Saccharomyces cerevisiae S288C: one gene and its partner. The gene in region 2 interacts genetically with the main gene of each other region. Each region holds a gene or a part of one and is shown on either strand. Other genes may lie near its edges. The genes, in order: QRI1 and URC2.

Region 1 (4,247 bases), 1.2 Mb from region 2:
ATTGCTCGTGACAAAACAAACGTAGTATGACCACCACTAACCAGCAGGCTAACAAAGGGAAATTGAGGCACTTTTCCATTTGTACCCATTCTTGGTATCAGCAAGTGTCCCAGCATGTGATGCACACCAATCAGTGGTTTGTTCCAGGCAACAGCTAAACCTTTTGCAAAATCTAATCCTCCTGATAATGAACCAGGCATACCAGGGCCTCTTGTAACACATATGAGATCAATTCCTTCTCTCGCATTGCTTTCTATCAGGGCTCTTTCGGTTAAGGGTCCTATCCGAGCTTGGTGATGGATATGAGCCTTTGTTGGTATAATACCTCCTTCGTCAATACTATCTAAAGTATCTTTCAAATTGGCTAGCACATTAGGAGCTGCACTTTTTGAGAACCTGTCCAAAACTGAAACGCATGTATCATCGCAAGAAGTCTCAATGGCTAAAACTTTATAGCCTTTTCTTAACTGTATTGGTCTGTTGAATGCACGCCTCTGCCAAATTCTATAGTTATCGAGGAGAAATCTTCCGGTTCCTTTTATTGATATCATAATGAAAAAAAAAGTTTCTATCCTTTCTTCTACTCTACTTATTTCAGAGCTTGAGAATCGCTGTTTGCTTTAATTTCATTGTCAATTAATCATCGCGCAATGAAGATGCCACTCTTTCCATTGGCAGAGCGGATCCGCCAAATAGAAATTACATAAAACAAGTAATTTAGCTATTTTTCAGAGTACGAAATATTTTATTATATATATTGAATCACAATTACGAGTACTTTTCAATTACATGTTAAAAGTGCTTCATAAGTAGCTCAAACAGTTATTTTTCTAATACTATACCACTTCTGTCAAAGACTTTACCTTTGAACTGGGATAGATTTTCACCTGCATAACTCAATTTGCTGGAAACTTCGACTAGTACCCCATCTTTTACAATAGCGCCTGCATCTTCCAACCACGAGGTTCCTAGTTTCAAATATGCTAGTCTGCTGGTCTCAGGATTATCGTTCTTAGAACCAGGACCGTTTTTTAAAGGTGAAAATTCTTTGCATCTATCTACTTCTAAGCACCCAAACTTGTTCAGTGGTACAGTGTCAAAGACATCAAATATGAATTGCTCTAATTTTATACCGTTTGGTTCGGTAGGCTTAGTGTACTTGCCGGTAACACTATCATAAGCTGGAATTTTCTTCTTCGCAATGTGATATGGCATATTCTCACACCACTGATCCAAATCACGTTTTAGTAAATCCACTAGGTAATAATGATTTACAATGTTGCCTGCGCGTAGTTTTAATAAGCCATCTTTATCCTTTGCTTCAGCCAATTCATTGGAAATTTCAGAATATTCTATGACACATGGTTTCTCGTTTTTAGTAGCAATTAACCCAACTGATTCATGCGCATCTCTCTTTCTAACGGCTTTGGTGGCCAGTTCGAAGCCATGCTTGATGGCAAAACCAATAAATACAGGGTCTGCGATTTTAGATAGGACATTATCGACACAGTACATGTAAACATGCTTGATTCCTCTCCTATCAAAGTCTTCGTTCAACTTGTTTTCCTTGATGGCACGGTAGAGTCCACCATTTCCATCTGGTGATTGAGATAGGTTTACTGGGTCTTTCATTAGGAAATGCTTCCCGGTTAAATCAAAGGCAGGCAGGGTTCCCTGGTTGAAGAACGTAATTTGTTCTTTATTCAAGCCAAAATAATTGTGTTCTTGAAAGTATGCCTCAGTAGCCGCTCTAGTGGGGCCTGATGTCATAATATACCAAGGAATTTCTACCTTTTTGTCCTTTACCATATCTTGCAACCTGATCAACTTTTCAGCTTGAATTTGAAAAAGAGATTTCTTAGAAGGCAATCCAATGTCGTAACAGCCCTTTGGTTGAGAGGATCCTAACCGCGTACCTTGTCCGCCAGCCATTAAAATCACTGCGACTTCACCCTTGCCAATAGCTTCAAGGCCTAAACGCCAGTATTCATTTTCTTTCTTACTGTTGCCAATAAGCGACTCGTACGAAGTAGGGGGCAATGGTGAAATTTCGACGCCAGTATCCTTAGAAGAGTTAGCTAGTGAGAATTTAATAGCATTTTGACAGTCTTCCAGTAGTTTTGCAGGGGACCTCTTGGAAGATATTTGCTCCAGGTTTGAAAGCAATTCTTCTTGGTCTTTGCGAGACAAGCTTTCCCAATTGTGGAAAAGTTGACTTTGTCCGGCTTCAATGAATAGCTGTTTTGTGTCAGTCATAGTTGCAGTTCGATCTGGTGTTCTCCTTTATATCTGCGTTTCTTTGCAGCGTTCTTGCTTGACGGTTGATCTTGGTTTTGTGTGGTAAAAGTATGCCTTAACGTAATAGGCAATTTTTCGTATTACGCGTAACTTTTTATTCTATAAAATGTTCAATGAGGACATCTGCTATTCGCTTATGAAGAACAAACACTCAGTACTACTGATCTAAGGCAATTTTCAAGGATAAAGGAAAATAGATATTGAGCACTTGCTATTAAGCATTAATCTTTATACATATACGCACAGCAATGAGTGAAAAAAGATCCCTTCCCATGGTTGATGTGAAGATCGATGACGAGGATACTCCCCAGTTGGAAAAGAAAATCAAACGGCAATCAATAGATCATGGTGTTGGAAGTGAACCTGTTTCAACAATAGAGATTATTCCGAGTGATTCTTTTCGAAAATATAATAGTCAAGGCTTCAAAGCAAAGGATACAGATTTAATGGGTACGCAATTAGAGTCTACTTTTGAACAAGAGCTATCGCAAATGGAACATGATATGGCCGACCAAGAAGAGCATGACCTGTCATCATTCGAGCGTAAGAAACTTCCAACCGATTTTGACCCAAGTTTGTATGATATTTCTTTCCAACAAATTGATGCGGAACAGAGCGTACTGAATGGTATCAAAGATGAAAATACATCTACCGTGGTAAGGTTTTTTGGTGTCACTAGTGAAGGACACTCTGTACTTTGTAATGTTACAGGGTTCAAGAACTATCTTTACGTCCCAGCGCCCAATTCTTCCGACGCTAACGATCAGGAGCAAATCAACAAGTTTGTGCACTATTTAAACGAAACATTTGACCACGCTATTGATTCGATTGAAGTTGTATCTAAACAGTCTATCTGGGGTTATTCCGGAGATACCAAATTACCATTCTGGAAAATATACGTCACCTATCCGCATATGGTCAACAAACTGCGTACTGCGTTTGAAAGAGGTCATCTTTCATTCAACTCGTGGTTTTCTAACGGCACGACTACTTATGATAACATTGCCTACACTTTAAGGTTAATGGTAGATTGTGGAATTGTCGGTATGTCCTGGATAACATTACCAAAAGGAAAGTATTCGATGATTGAGCCTAATAACAGAGTTTCCTCTTGTCAGTTGGAAGTTTCAATTAATTATCGTAACCTAATAGCACATCCTGCTGAGGGTGATTGGTCTCATACAGCTCCATTGCGTATCATGTCCTTTGATATCGAGTGTGCTGGTAGGATTGGCGTCTTTCCGGAACCTGAATACGATCCCGTCATCCAAATTGCCAACGTTGTGAGTATTGCTGGCGCTAAGAAACCATTCATTCGTAATGTGTTTACTCTGAATACATGCTCACCCATAACAGGTTCAATGATTTTTTCCCACGCCACTGAAGAGGAAATGTTGAGCAATTGGCGTAACTTTATCATCAAAGTTGATCCTGATGTTATCATTGGTTATAATACTACAAATTTTGATATCCCTTATCTTTTAAACCGTGCAAAGGCGCTAAAGGTGAATGATTTCCCATATTTTGGAAGGTTAAAAACCGTTAAGCAAGAAATTAAAGAGTCTGTGTTCTCTTCGAAGGCTTATGGTACAAGAGAAACCAAAAATGTCAATATTGACGGCCGATTACAGTTGGATCTTTTGCAATTTATTCAGCGTGAGTATAAACTAAGATCCTACACGTTGAATGCAGTCTCTGCGCACTTTTTAGGTGAACAGAAGGAGGATGTACATTATAGCATCATTTCTGATCTACAAAATGGCGATAGTGAAACAAGAAGAAGGTTGGCCGTTTACTGTTTGAAAGACGCCTACCTGCCTTTAAGGCTTATGGAAAAACTAATGGCGTTAGTTAACTATACAGAAATGGCTCGTGTTACAGGTGTGCCATTTTCATATTTACTAGCTCGTGGTCAACAAATTAAAGTTGTTTCTCAACTATTTCGAAAG
Region 2 (4,885 bases):
AGAAGATTGCTTAATTAAGGCAATGCCAGGTGATAAAGTTAAGGTTCATTATACAGGATCTTTATTAGAATCGGGAACTGTATTTGACTCAAGTTATTCAAGAGGCTCTCCTATCGCTTTTGAACTTGGCGTTGGCAGAGTAATTAAAGGTTGGGATCAAGGTGTTGCCGGCATGTGCGTTGGCGAAAAAAGAAAGCTGCAAATTCCAAGTTCTTTGGCCTACGGAGAAAGAGGTGTCCCAGGCGTCATTCCTCCAAGTGCTGATTTGGTGTTTGATGTCGAATTGGTAGACGTGAAATCAGCCGCCTAGGTAAATTGGCACTCAGGCACATATCTGCAACAAGATGCATGGAGTACGTATGTGGCAAACTTTTTTTTATAGTTGAAAATATATCCATATGAGGATGCCAGCCATCATGTCAAGTTTCAATGTAATTATGGTTGTGTATATTATGTTTGCAGCAAAATAAAATAAAAGGGCTCTAACTACAATATATTAATATAAAGAAATGTTATTCAATCTAGTTTGGGTATGAATTTTTTCCCTCTTAATAAAAATAGTTTAAGTAGTTTGTTCAGTCTTCTTATCGCTGGTAAACATTTTTTGGGAATTTGGTTTTAAACTATCAAAAAAATCCTGAAAAAAGTCTTCAAAGGAATTGAATTGGTCGACGTCAGGAATCATGAAGTGACTACTGGACAAGTTCTCGTGCAAAGTACCAACATTAGTAGGCGAAGTAGCGGGTTTCGCGGCGTGCAGATTTCCTGCTCCTGTGTAGTTATTAGCATTAGTCGACATTTTATCATTATCACTATTCTCTTTTGACAAACTGCCAAAATTAATACGAGTCTTACTAGTATCAATTATAGATTTTATGATTTTTCCAACGTTATCAGTAGCCTCATTCATTTTTTCCCCTATAGTGCTCAAATGCCAGTACACTTTTGTACAAAGACTCAAAACGCGTTGACGTTCAGAAGAATCGAACCAATAAAGATAGTCACAAAGAGTTAAACAGGCGTAGACTAGTTGATGACAAGTAAAAATCGGAGCACCCCTTATTAACGTTGGCGGTAGTCTCAAAAACCCATTCAACAGCGAAAATGAATGTTCTTTCATCGTATTAAGAATTAGTTTCAAAAACCTTTGGTTGCTTTTTAGCGTGGAAGAAAATTCTGTGATAAAAGTGCGACATATCATGATATGATAAAAATCAAATGTGAACAATAGCACGCCCGCGCCATCCTTTGCTAAAAGCTCTTCCCAATTTTTCAGCCAATAATTTAGCTCTGGAAAAACAAAGATAAAAGTATCTGCGTTACCTCCATATCTGTCATTGTTAAAGTCATCCAAACACTGCGCAAAATAATTTTTAAGGTTTATAAAGATGCCATTTACGATGTCACCTAAATTTATCTCACTGATTTTAATGTCATCACCAAAATTCGCCTGAGGAAATTTCGCCACAAGTTTATTAAACTCTTTAAGCATATCATCCTGTTCCCTAATATCGCCGTAACTAATGGAATATTCTAAATAGCAGGCAGTTAGTGAATTTAGTATTCTTAGATGATAAAGATCTTCGGGATTATACACTTCTTTTACCAAAACCCTATCCTTTATCTGATAAAAATCTATTACATGTAACAAGCTATTGAGCGCAAAATTGCTTAGTACCAGAGAATTAAACTTCAGTTGCCTATATCTCTTTGCCTTTCGCGAAATATGGAACATACAGCAATATAAAATAGCCTCAATATCAAACGCTGTTAACTTTTCAAACATGGTTAACGTATTAGTGAGTAATCTCTCCACTAAAGGATACAATATTTCTTGTTCTGCAGCGTATTTATCGTTGTCAGCAAAACTCATAGCGATAATAGTAAAAACACTTGTAATAAATAGGTGTGAGTGGGCATATTCCACGTCTATCTCTTTTCTCCCACCTGGAATTATCCAGAAATGGGATCTCACCAGAAATTCTTTTGCAAGCTTATGGCATAATTCCTGATTATTCTCATAAAAATGGAGAAAGTTCACTCTTGCAACAGCATATGGCCTTTGCTGTCCAGCTAGCTTCGCAGCTTTAGATGTAGCCTTCGATGGAAATAGCCTCTCATCAATATCATGTAGCAATTTTAAAGGAGATTCCTTCAACTTAAATCCATTTAAGAAAAGATTTTCTTTTCTATATTCCCCTGTTTTCCTTATCGTCTCTGAGCCCGAAGTTAGACGACTATCGTACGTCTTATTTGAGCTGAAATCCACGTTCTGAATATCATCTCCAGGGCCTTTGATATCGCTGTTATAAGACATCTTTGCTGTGGTGATTATCAAGTCCATTTTCTGGTGTAAAGATTTTATGTGCTCTTCTAAAGATGAAAGCCTTTTATCGATCATGTAATTATCAAAATTGACCGTTCCATTCTTTTCAAAACTACTTTGGCTTTCGTTGGGAGAGTCCGCATTCAAATGAGAGAAAGAACCAAGGTTGTGATTAATTGAGTTGATCTTCTTTAGTAGACCATCCTCACGTAAAGTATTCAAAATTTCATTGTCTTTATTCCTGGCTAAGGAGCAATCAAGCTGCAGAACGTTACATCTGTAACATTTTCCAATGAAAGGTTCAAAATCGCACCTTGTCTTCACTCTCCTGCAAGTATCACAACTAAATGTTTTTCTTTTCTTTCTAGGTTTTTTGTTGCCATTATTCTTAGGACTGTTCGTTTCACTGCGCTCTTTGGCTCTTGCACTATCCTCTGGGTGGTTTATTATGGATCTGATACTATTTCGCACCTTTCCAGAAGCAGAATTATATCCAGCAGTCATCGGTAAACCATCTGGTCTGGGGCTTACTGAGGCATTTGAGTTTATATCCATTTTTTTCCCTGATGTTCAGCAAACCGAAAGAAATATAAAATACAACTGGGAAAGATGTTTTAATGGTGAGTAAGCAAAATGTGAGTGGTTTTAACCCTAAGGAAGAACCGTATCAAAACACTATTTTTCAATTAAATCATCTACCTAATGAGCTCATTTTGTTAAGATGATCTACCATAATAATTATTCAAAAACTGTCAAAATTAAAAGGAGGGTAACAGTTTCAATAGTTTAACCAGTTTTGGTAATGCCTGAAATAACATAAAAAGCTGATGCTAAGTGGGCTACGCTATGCTCCAGGTGAAGATAATCAGAACACTACATCTCTACTGCAAATTTATATCTCATAAGAACTAAATAAAATGGCTAGTATTTAAGTTAATCTTCTAACCTAAAAAATTATCGAGAACAATACCGTGAAAACTGCATAAACTGACATTTTGAAAGCATCAATAAAAATGTTCTTCGGAGCACTGTTTTCCATCTTCTTTGAACTTCCTTGACTTTTTGCACCATTTTTTCCTTTTTCTTTCTTTCCATTATCATTGTCAGTTTCCTGCTTTCCTAGTACATTCCCCTCTTCATCAACATTCAGCATTTTACTTTTCATACCAGATGTGCATTCGATTTTACCGCCTCTTATGATCGAACGACCGGCTTTTGGTGATGTAAATTCTTCACAGTTTAATTCCTCAGATGAACTTTTGATATAAGCGCTACCTTTTACTAACTTTAGCTCTGGGAGGTCAATTTTATCAAAGCTACCTTCAAAATATATTGCACCGCCAATTTGCCTCAACTTGGGGAAGAAATCAATTTTGGCAAGCTCTGTATTGTTAGCAATCATTAGACCCCCTTGAATATCGGTGGCATTCGAAAAGTTTAGCTTTTTCAGATTTTTATTATCTATTAACCCCAACGTTCCTTGAACTTTTGCCAAAAGTGGTAGTTCCAAGCTTGAAAATTGATTCTCGATGAACTCTAGAGAACTGTTCACAGAGGAAAGTTTAGCTAGTTTAATTTCTGAAACGTCCTTAATGGTCATATTTTCAACCGTGTGTAAGTTGCTCAAATCAAGTTCCAGCTCTTTGGCATTAGAGTGGACGGTTAGTTGTTTAGTAACACTTTCTAAACTTGCGAATAAATTTTCTAAAAACCTGTTATTGTTGATATTGAAAATATCCACTTTCTTGACGTTATTGAAGTAATCGATGGAGGTTAATGCAGTATCAGATATGATAATATTTTTGATCTTTTTAATATTTCCGTTAATGACAACACTACTTAGAATAGGCAAAACTCTCCAATCAACGGTTTCAACTTCTTTTAAAGCGGGAAAGTCTAATGATACAAAGGAAGTTAGGCTATCCAATTCCAACTTTCCCAAAGACTCTAAATTATAACCCTGGATTCTAAAAATGTGTTTGTTATTCTTGATAATAAGATCTCCCTCTATCTCTCTTATTAACCCTAGATCAATAAGAGATCCGCTGTAGTTACTTGATATTTCAATGTTTCCTACCACTTTCCAACATTTAGCTTGCAGTTCAATCAAATTTCCAGCATTCTCAATATGATACAAGCCTTTTTTACAGTCTTCATCTACTTGTGTTTGTTTTGTTGGAGAAATCACCTCAAAATCAGTTTGTTCCTTTTTAGGGATCGTTGCATTAGTGTTAACCAACATAATGTTGTGATCTAGAATATTCGGTCCACCATTAGGTTCAACTGCAGCGGATGATTTAATTAACTGCAGAAACAAGAATAAAAATCTTAAGATTGTGTTCAACTGGTTCAACATGCTATCCTTTTCTTTTTTTGTAGAAACTTTGGTTTCTTTATTGACTATTTGAATAACAGAAATACTAGTGAAGAATGTTTGTGTTTTCCAAATTGGCATTTTCTTTTATAGTCTAAGTAATGCCACAAAATATTTTTTTTGAGACGCATCAATGACGGGACAGTAAAGACATAAACGCTCGATCAGAAAAAAAGAATCGAAAA

The links.
Region 1: mutations in URC2 (region 2) and QRI1 together harm fitness more than expected from each alone (negative genetic interaction), as found in Saccharomyces cerevisiae (2 studies listed by BioGRID).

Annotation. Positions count from the first base shown.
Region 1 is NC_001136.10:274,326-278,572, forward strand, and holds QRI1 (UDP-N-acetylglucosamine diphosphorylase), read right to left. Parts: upstream 2,257-4,247; coding exon 823-2,256; downstream 1-822. Other genes in the region: QRI7 (putative N(6)-L-threonylcarbamoyladenine synthase), read right to left, coding at 1-551; DNA-directed DNA polymerase delta POL3, read left to right, coding at 2,547-4,247. UniProt on the Saccharomyces cerevisiae protein: UDP-N-acetylglucosamine pyrophosphorylase that utilizes N-acetylglucosamine-1-phosphate as substrate. Together with AGM1, is involved in the production of UDP-N-acetylglucosamine from N-acetylglucosamine-6-phosphate.
Region 2 is NC_001136.10:1,480,523-1,485,407, forward strand, and holds URC2 (Urc2p), read right to left. Parts: upstream 2,882-4,885; coding exon 563-2,881; downstream 1-562. Other genes in the region: peptidylprolyl isomerase family protein FPR2, read left to right, coding at 1-310; SPS2 (Sps2p), read right to left, coding at 3,273-4,781. UniProt on the Saccharomyces cerevisiae protein: Probable transcriptional activator involved in uracil catabolism.